Macaca fascicularis: one gene and its partner. The protein of the gene in region 1 interacts with the protein of each later gene in a biochemical or structural test. Links are inferred from orthologs where the notes say so. Each region holds a gene or a part of one and is shown in the gene's direction. Other genes may lie near its edges.

Region 1 (4,059 bases):
GTAGCTCATGCTAGAATACCCTTTGTTCCATCTCCTTCATCTTTCTGATCCAAAATTTAGTAGCCTACTACATTTCACCCACCATCCTTCTTTCCTCCAGCTATGGTAGAGAACTGCTCCTCCAACTTTATGTACATTTGAATCACCTGGGAGTTCTTGTGAACTTCTGGGTCTGATTTAATATGGACACCCAAAGAGTCTGCATTTCTTATAACTCTCATAAGAAGCTGTGGAGTACTCTGAACAGCAAAGTACTGGAAGTGCTGTTTCTGTTAGTATCTAAACTATTAGTCCTAATCTCCCATTTATGCTTTGGCACTCATTCCCTCCTGCTTTCGCTATCTTAATATATATCACTCCTTAACTGTTCCCTCAGGTTCCCTACATAGTTTATCTCCACCCCTCTAAGCTGCTCAGTATCACCCATTAAAGAACTAAACCAAAACAAAACTAGAAAACCCTCATTTAACCCTTCACTCCCCCTACATACCATCTGATGTGTCTCTCATCCACAGTTAAACTTGGAAGAATTGTCTGCTTGAGGATGCCATTTCATCATCTCCAGCAATCCTGTACCCACTTCAATGTTATTTGCAGGCCCATTACCCCACCAACACAGCATTCACGAAAATTATCAATGACTACACACTGAGAAGACAAGAATGACATTTTCAGTTCTCCTCTAATTTGAATTTCTCAACAGCATTCAATACTGTTAACTACTCCCAATATTTTTCCACATTGTCCTCCATGACACAACACATAATAGTCCCTTATTATCTATTTTCCTGTCTATTGTAAAGACTTCCCCCCACCCCAAAAAAGGTCAAGAAAACCCCTAGCCTTCAAGTCTCAACTGAAATCTGGCCTTCTGAAGCCTCCCCAACTAGGAAAATATATAGTCCCATTGGTTGTCTACCAGTTAATTGTAATTCTTAGCCACAAGTCAGCTGAACCACCGTCTCTCAAACAGGCGAAGTTAAGCTCTATATTTGGCATATCTTGATATACTTTGTATAGTCTAGCTACAATGAGTTTGCCTATGCACGAAGATGGCTACCGGCGGGGGGGCGTCGTTACGTCCTACGTCATCACGTGCCGGGATGAGGGTGGGGCCCTCAAGGAAGATGGAATGGAATCCAGATGGGCGGGGGCAAGCAGGACGGGGCGGGGCTACGCTGGATCTGGGCGGGGCGGGGCCGGTGAGGGGTCGGGGGTGCTTGTGCTATTCAGCCGGTGCGCGCGGCGGCGGGAGGCAGCGGCTGGGGAGTCCCCTCGACGCTCTGTTCCGAGAGCGTGCCCCGGACCGCCAGCTCAGACCAGGGGCAGCCGTGTAGCCGAACGTAAGCTAGGAGCAGCCGGGACTGGTGGCTGGCCCCCGAGCTCCGCAGGCGGGAAGCACCCAGGATTTGGGAAGTCCCGGGAGCAACGCGGCGGCGCCTCCCTCACCCAAGGGGCCGCGGCTACGGTCACGGAGCGCGGCGGCACCGTGAGCGACCCAGGCCAGGATTCTAAATAGACGGCCCAGGTTCCTCCTCTGCCCGGGCCGCCTCACCTGCGGGCATTGCCGCGCCGCCTCCGCCGGTGTAGACGGCACCTGCGCCGCCTCGCTCGCGGGTCTCCGCCCCTTGCCCCCCCTTTCGGCGCCAGGCCCGGGCAGCTCACCTGGACTGGCGCGGGCTGCGGGAGCCTGCGGTAGCCGAGGCGCGGAGGCGCAGCGCCCACGCCACTGTCTGGAGAGGACGCAGGTGGAGCGGGCGCGGCTTCGCGGAACCCGGCGCCTGCCGCCGCCGTCGTCCCGGCAGACACCAGGTCCCGGGGACCCGGCCGCCAGTGCCCGGGGAGTAGCCGCCGCCGTCGGCTGGGCACCATGAACAGCAGCAGCGCCAACATCACCTACGCCAGTCGCAAGCGGCGGAAGCCGGTGCAGAAAACGTGAGTGTCCCGAGCGCGTCCTCATCGCGGGGGCTGGGCGCACAGGCACGCGGGTGCGGGAGGCAGCCCCACCCCGCCCCCAAATCCCTGCGATCCTGGGGATTAGGTTCATTCCCGGCACTGCCCGTGGAATCGAGGTTTGGAGGCCGGTCGGGAGACCGAGGACTTGAATTCTCGCGTTTTCAATGATTGCATTTTAAAAATTGTCCTTCCACCCATCCTCTTCTCCCGCACCGGTGCATACACACCCTCTCACATTTGTAACTTTGTTCTCTCTGATTTGGTCCTGATTTGTTGACAGCTCTGATCTGCCTTGGGCTAATGGATTAGTTAGTATAAACCTGTCTTGAAATCTCCTTCCACTTTTAATATCCGCATGCGTTAGGTTAGAGGACAGTCTTAATTCTCATTCTTGGTAGAGTTTGGTAGGGCGAGATGTTTTAAAGAGCTAAACACGTGCTGACTTTTACGAAGGGGCTGAGTGCCTCTAAAGGTACTTTTTGGTCCCCACCTACTGGCTTTCTGTTGCGCTCTTACTTACTTATTTGGCAGCAGTTTTGTAGCGCTCATCGTGACCATATCGGTAAAGTGGATAGACGTGGTAGCAGGTGGGAGTGGATGCAACGGACAGGATACGGTGGAGGATTTGTATTCTTCAGACATCTTTTTCGGAAGCTTGCTTATCACTTTTGGGGTGGCTTTAGAGTCTGTAACATAAAAGATTTAGAACTGCATTTGAGAGTGGTTTTCATTCTTAACATTTACCTCTAATTATTTTCCCCTTCCAAGTTTTGTTCTAATTGAGTGAGTACAAACTTGCTTTTGTCGTTGTCAGTTGATTTTGGTGGAATATTTGTGTGAGATGGCAAATACTTTATTTTCTTGTGTGTCAGAAAAAAGTATCCGTGCTGGAAACTTTTCCTGTTGTGTGGTGGTTGTATTCATGTGTTTGTTCCAATTTTTTTATTTCTAGTTTTATCTCTGAGTTACTTTACCTGCATGTTTTTCAAGTTTTCGTAAACAATTTTAAGAACTCTTAAACGTCTTCTCAGACCAAATCAGAAGTGTGCATTTTGCTTAGACTCCAACTGTCACTAATGGGAACCAGAAAAATAACACTTTAAGATTTACATTTAAAACCAGTTATTGGTTTAAAGTTTCATTCTAAAATTTTAGTTTCCTTTCAGAATTTCAGTTATCATAGTTCTTCAGAACTAGACTTGTGAATTGGCATTAACAGAGGATAATAATCTGTAAATAGACTGATTAAAATATGGAAGTTTTATGGTAGAGTGTGTTTTAAGGGAATGTTGTCAAACCAGCAGTTTTCTACCTTGGCAGTTTGAGACATCGGTTTATAATACTTTTAATTTTGTAGAATGATTTCTTATATTAAAGTATGTTTGTCTTATTTGACATTGTCCTTCATGGTTAAAGTTGGGAGGCATCACAAATGTCTGTTCTATGTGTTTATTAATGCAATAATATACTTAGCATCATATATAATAGGGACGTCATAGGTTTTATGTGTATAGTGAGAAAACAGGAAGCTTTCCCTGATGTGTTTTTAAGATACTGGGTTTCAGTTAGGGTGTTATAAAAGGACCTGGGTGGCTTTGTAAACAAAAACAAATGCCATAATTTTGTATTCATTATACAGTTTAACGTTTATGGATTTTAGTTACTTTGCGTAAAATGTACTTTTTATTAGATTATCCTAATATACTTTCTTAGTCTTTAATATGCTTGTATTAATTTCTTACAATATAACAAAAGTATTTTTCCCATTCACCCACATTTTATTTTGTTAGCATAGATGTTTATCAGATCTCTACCGAGCACCATATATTGCTTCTAATCATACAAATGCCTTAAATATCACCAGCTTCCTCTGTAAGAAAAGGCTAGTGCTGGTATTTTCTTTATCAAGTGAAAGTGTTTATATAAATTATTTTTACCTGAATGAAAAATTGTTAACTTTATAATGCAGTAAATCAAAGTTTATTTTAGAAATGAAGTCATTAAACTTGATATTAAATTTGAGTTTTAAAATTAAACTACTAGTCTGTGACCTAATGAGCCCTAAAACCTGCCAACATTGGGGAAAATAGATCTTGTTTTGAG
Region 2 (4,034 bases), on another chromosome or scaffold:
CAGCACTTTGGGAGGCTGAGGTGGACGGATTGCCTGAGGTCAGGAGTTCGAGACCAGTCTGGCCAACATCGTGAAACCCCATCTCTACTAAAAACACACAAAAAATTAGCCGGGCGTGTGGCATGCGCCTGTAATCCCAGCTACTCAGGAGGCTGAGGCAGAGGAATTGCTTGAACCAGGGAGGTGGAGGTTGCAGTGAGCCGAGATTGCGCCACTGCACTCCAGCCTGGATGACTGAGGGAGACTTCGTCTCAAATACAAACAAACAAAACTCCTCATTATGTACCTATCACTGACCAAAGGAAGTTACCCATTCTCAAAATACTTTCTTCATCCACTGCCTCCAGTTCTGGCTGGCAATATCTCCCATACCAAACCGTTAACACCCAGATCCTTTTACACTACCAGTCCCATAGCAGGCATTAAAAAGTTAGTTATTTAACTTTTTTCACCAGGGACAAAAGTCCTTAAAACAGGAAAAAAACTGGAAAGGATTACAAATCACCATGTGAAGTTTAAGTATTAGAGCACCTAAAGAGGATTTACAAGATAAGTTGTCTGCAGGGCAACCACTCAGACGACGAATCCACCACCAAGAGAAGGTTTTTAGTCAAATATCCTTTTTTTAGTAAAATATCCTTTTTTTTTTTTTTGAGATGGAGTTTTGCTCTCGGTGGCCCAGACGAGTACAGTGGTGTGGCGCGATCTCGGTTCACTGCAACCTCTGCCTCCCAGGTTCAAGCGATTCTCCTGCCTCAGCCTCCCAAGAAGCTGGGATTACAGGCATGTGCCACCACGCCCAGCTAATTTTGTATTTTTAGTAGAGACGGGGTTTTCGCCATGTTGGCCATGGCTGGTTTCGAACCCCTGACCACAGGTGATCCGCCGGCCTGGGCCTCCCAAAGTGCTGGGATTACAGGCGCGAGCCACCGCGCCCTGCCTAAAATACCCATTTTAATTGCATTTCAATGACGTTACTCGGTCATTGACCTCTTACGCAAGGAGGGCGGGGTTAGGGAGACAGCTGGACTTCTTCCTCGCCCTCCCTCCACTGGACTGGCTGGCGCAGGGAGTAGCCCTGCCCTTGGTCGATTTGGCATCTTCATTGGTCAATTTTTTCCTAGGAGGCGGTCGTGTGTTGATTCCGCCCGCTATATAGGCGGGGTCTCTCCGCCACAGGGGCTGGGATGGTGGGGGCTGCTGAAGCCGCCATCTTGGATTCCGCGGTAGCGGAGGCGCCGCTTCTGGGGAGTGGCCTTTCTCTTCCCCTCCCTCCCGGTTCGGTGGCGGCGGCTCCTCCCACTGGGGGGGGGTGGCGCGGCGGCGGTGGCATCTACGGCCATGGCGGCGACTACTGCCAACCCCGGTGAGGAGACGGAGGACTGGGGCGCCTCTAAAGGGGAGGGGCTGAAGGGGCTGACAACTAAGGAGACCCAGGGCTGAGGGGACGCAGCTGGAGCTGAAGGCGCCGGGGCGGGGCGGAGGCCGCGAGGGACGGTGGGGGAGCGGTGACCTGGGGAGGGGCGCGATCCTGGGGACTTGGGTAGACTCAAGGTGGAGGGAGCGAGGGGGCAGGTGGGAGTTGGGGGCTCCCTCTCCTGACCTCCGTTGGAGCGGCGGCCAGTGGGGGCTGGCTCGCCCTCACTCCTCGGGCGGCGTCTGGTCTGTGATGTGGTCCTCTTTTAACCCTCTGCCCGCTGGAGCCGCTTGATGCCGAATACTGTAGGCAGAGTGGCTCCGTTTACTTTAAGAGTAGTTTGGATTCATAAACCCTGGAACATATTGCTCTTTAGTTGACGTGTTGCTTCCAAACATTTAAAGGTTTAGATTTTAATTTTAAAAATAAAAAATTGACGTTCTTTGATATATACGACATCTCTTTAGGCTGTTACCTCCCACCCGCAACCCCCGTCCCCGTCCCCGGACTATACTTTGAAACTTAGATCTTGTGTTAAGAGGGCCTGTCTGCCTGCTGAGGGCAGGGGTTTGTGTAATGGTTGTGGTTTCGGACAGGTCTTTAGTCCACAGCCCCAGGTTTAAATCTTGTTAGGCCTAGGTCCAGCCAGTTTCCAAACTCTTTCAGAAAAGTTTGATTCCACACCATTTCTCAGTTTCAAAAAATAATCAAATATCAAAAAGATCTAGTCTGTTTTGTCTAAGAGATGGAATAGGGTGTAGTGCAGTTCTAGAGAGATCAGATCTTCAAATTACTAGTCCCACCCTGCCCTCTTTCCTCTATGTTACAGTTATTTCTCCTTAGAAGGTATTTCATTTTAGGGGCCTAGTTTATCTTGCAGACTTTGGTCATTCTTGCAAAATAAAGTCTATCCGTTTCCAAAAACCAATATATTTGATAGCTTTAAAAAGAAAGGGCCTTGAGGTGTGTGTGTGTGTTGCGGAGAATTTCTTGAAAATACAACAGTGGGAGTGATTACCCCCATCCCCACATTGAAATTTAAATTAGATTTTTTTTTCATGTTACTGAAAGGCAGTATTATTTTGCAATATCCAGATTTTGCTGGACAGTTGAATCACTGAAATTTCTTTTCTACCATGTTTCTGGGAACAGCTATTTTAAGAAATGATTAATTTGTCACATGTCATTATCTGTATTTAATTTTTAAAAATTTTTTTTAAAGGAAAGAGAGGTAAAATTAATGGCAAAAATTACATTGCGGGAAGTGCTGAGTGATAGAATAAAACTATAAAACAGGAAAAATGCCATTATGGCAAACCTGACCTTGTAGTAATATAACCTATCTGAACTATGGAATAAATAAACAAGATTTTTAACTGATCACACATTGCAAAATACTTATATAACCCTAGTTAAATTGCAAAGCATTTCTCTTATTAAGAAGTCGCCTGAGTAAACAAGTTTTAGTTCATATGTCAGGAGCTTTTTTCCAGCTGTGTGGGTGGGGTTGCTTTATTTTGTTTTGTTTTTTAAACAGCAGCAACCAGAATGACAGCCTCTTGACCATATCTTCATAAGCTGATCAATATCAGCTTAAATCTCAGCAGAAAATAGCATGTGTTTGTGTGTATGTGTGTATGCAGAATCCTTGTTAATGAAACGCTTTGTTTACTATGCTTTGGCTGCTTGGTTCTGCAATTTTTAGATTTCCTTTTTCTTTTTCTTTTCCTTTCTCCTCTCCCCTCTCCCCTCTTTTTCTTTTGATGCAGGGTCTTGCTTCTTGCTCTGTCGCCCGGTCTGGAGTACAGTGGCAAGATCACTGCTCACGGCATCTTCCACCTCCGGGGCTCAAGTGATCTTCTCACGATCAGCCTCCTGAATAGCTGGGACTACAGGTGCCTTGCCACCATGCCTGGTTAATTTTTAAATTTTTTTGTGGAGACAGATGCCTTGCTATGTTGCTCACGCTGATCTTGATCTCCTGGTCTCAAGCAAGCCTTGCCTCAGTCTCTCAAAGTTGGGAATACAGGTGTGAGACACTCTACCTGGCCAGATATCTTTTTTGATATTAAAAAATTCTTCCATCTCTTCTAACTTATCGATTCCATGTTCAGTTCAATCAAATCAGAAGATATGTTTTCTTTTTTCTTTTCTCCCTTTGCACTTTTATATCAAGAGGAAGAGAGCATAGATACATTGTGGATTTTTTCAGTAGTCTATTGCATTTTGGGAAATGAGATTAATGAATGGAGGGACATTAGGTGGAAATGTACTGTGCTTAGTGAAAGTAAATGTTTTCAGGTCAGAATTCTTTGCTATACTGTCATACCTTCTTTCCTTAGAGCCATTTTAAGGACTAGGGACACCATGCCTATTTCTTTGAGTTTTTTCTACTTTGTATTTTTGCTGGAGTACTAATTTTTTTTTTTTTTTTTTTTAACAATTCTTGTTAGTTTTGTCAAGACGATTTAAAAAAAAATTTCACTCTTTAAGCTTCACTTGAGTTAATCCTTTTTAAAAATATATTTATTTTTATTTTTGAGACAGGGTCTCGCTCTGTCTCCCAGACTGTAGTGCAGTGGTGTAATCACAGCTCACTGCAGCCTTGAACTCCTGA

The links. The genes of interacting proteins can lie anywhere in the genome.
Region 2: the proteins of AHR (region 1) and ARNT form a complex in vitro, tested with the Homo sapiens proteins (14 studies listed by BioGRID, with this or other methods). The link is inferred for Macaca fascicularis from reciprocal best matches to the Homo sapiens genes AHR and ARNT.

What each region holds. Positions count from the first base shown.
Region 1 is NC_088377.1:112,900,961-112,905,019, reverse strand, and holds the start of AHR (aryl hydrocarbon receptor), read left to right. Parts: upstream 1-1,231; 5' UTR 1,232-1,870; coding exon 1,871-1,935; intron 1,936-4,059. UniProt on the Homo sapiens protein: Ligand-activated transcription factor that enables cells to adapt to changing conditions by sensing compounds from the environment, diet, microbiome and cellular metabolism, and which plays important roles in development, immunity and cancer.
Region 2 is NC_088375.1:110,366,647-110,370,680, forward strand, and holds the start of ARNT (aryl hydrocarbon receptor nuclear translocator), read left to right. Parts: upstream 1-1,184; 5' UTR 1,185-1,341; coding exon 1,342-1,366; intron 1,367-4,034. UniProt on the Homo sapiens protein: Required for activity of the AHR. Upon ligand binding, AHR translocates into the nucleus, where it heterodimerizes with ARNT and induces transcription by binding to xenobiotic response elements (XRE).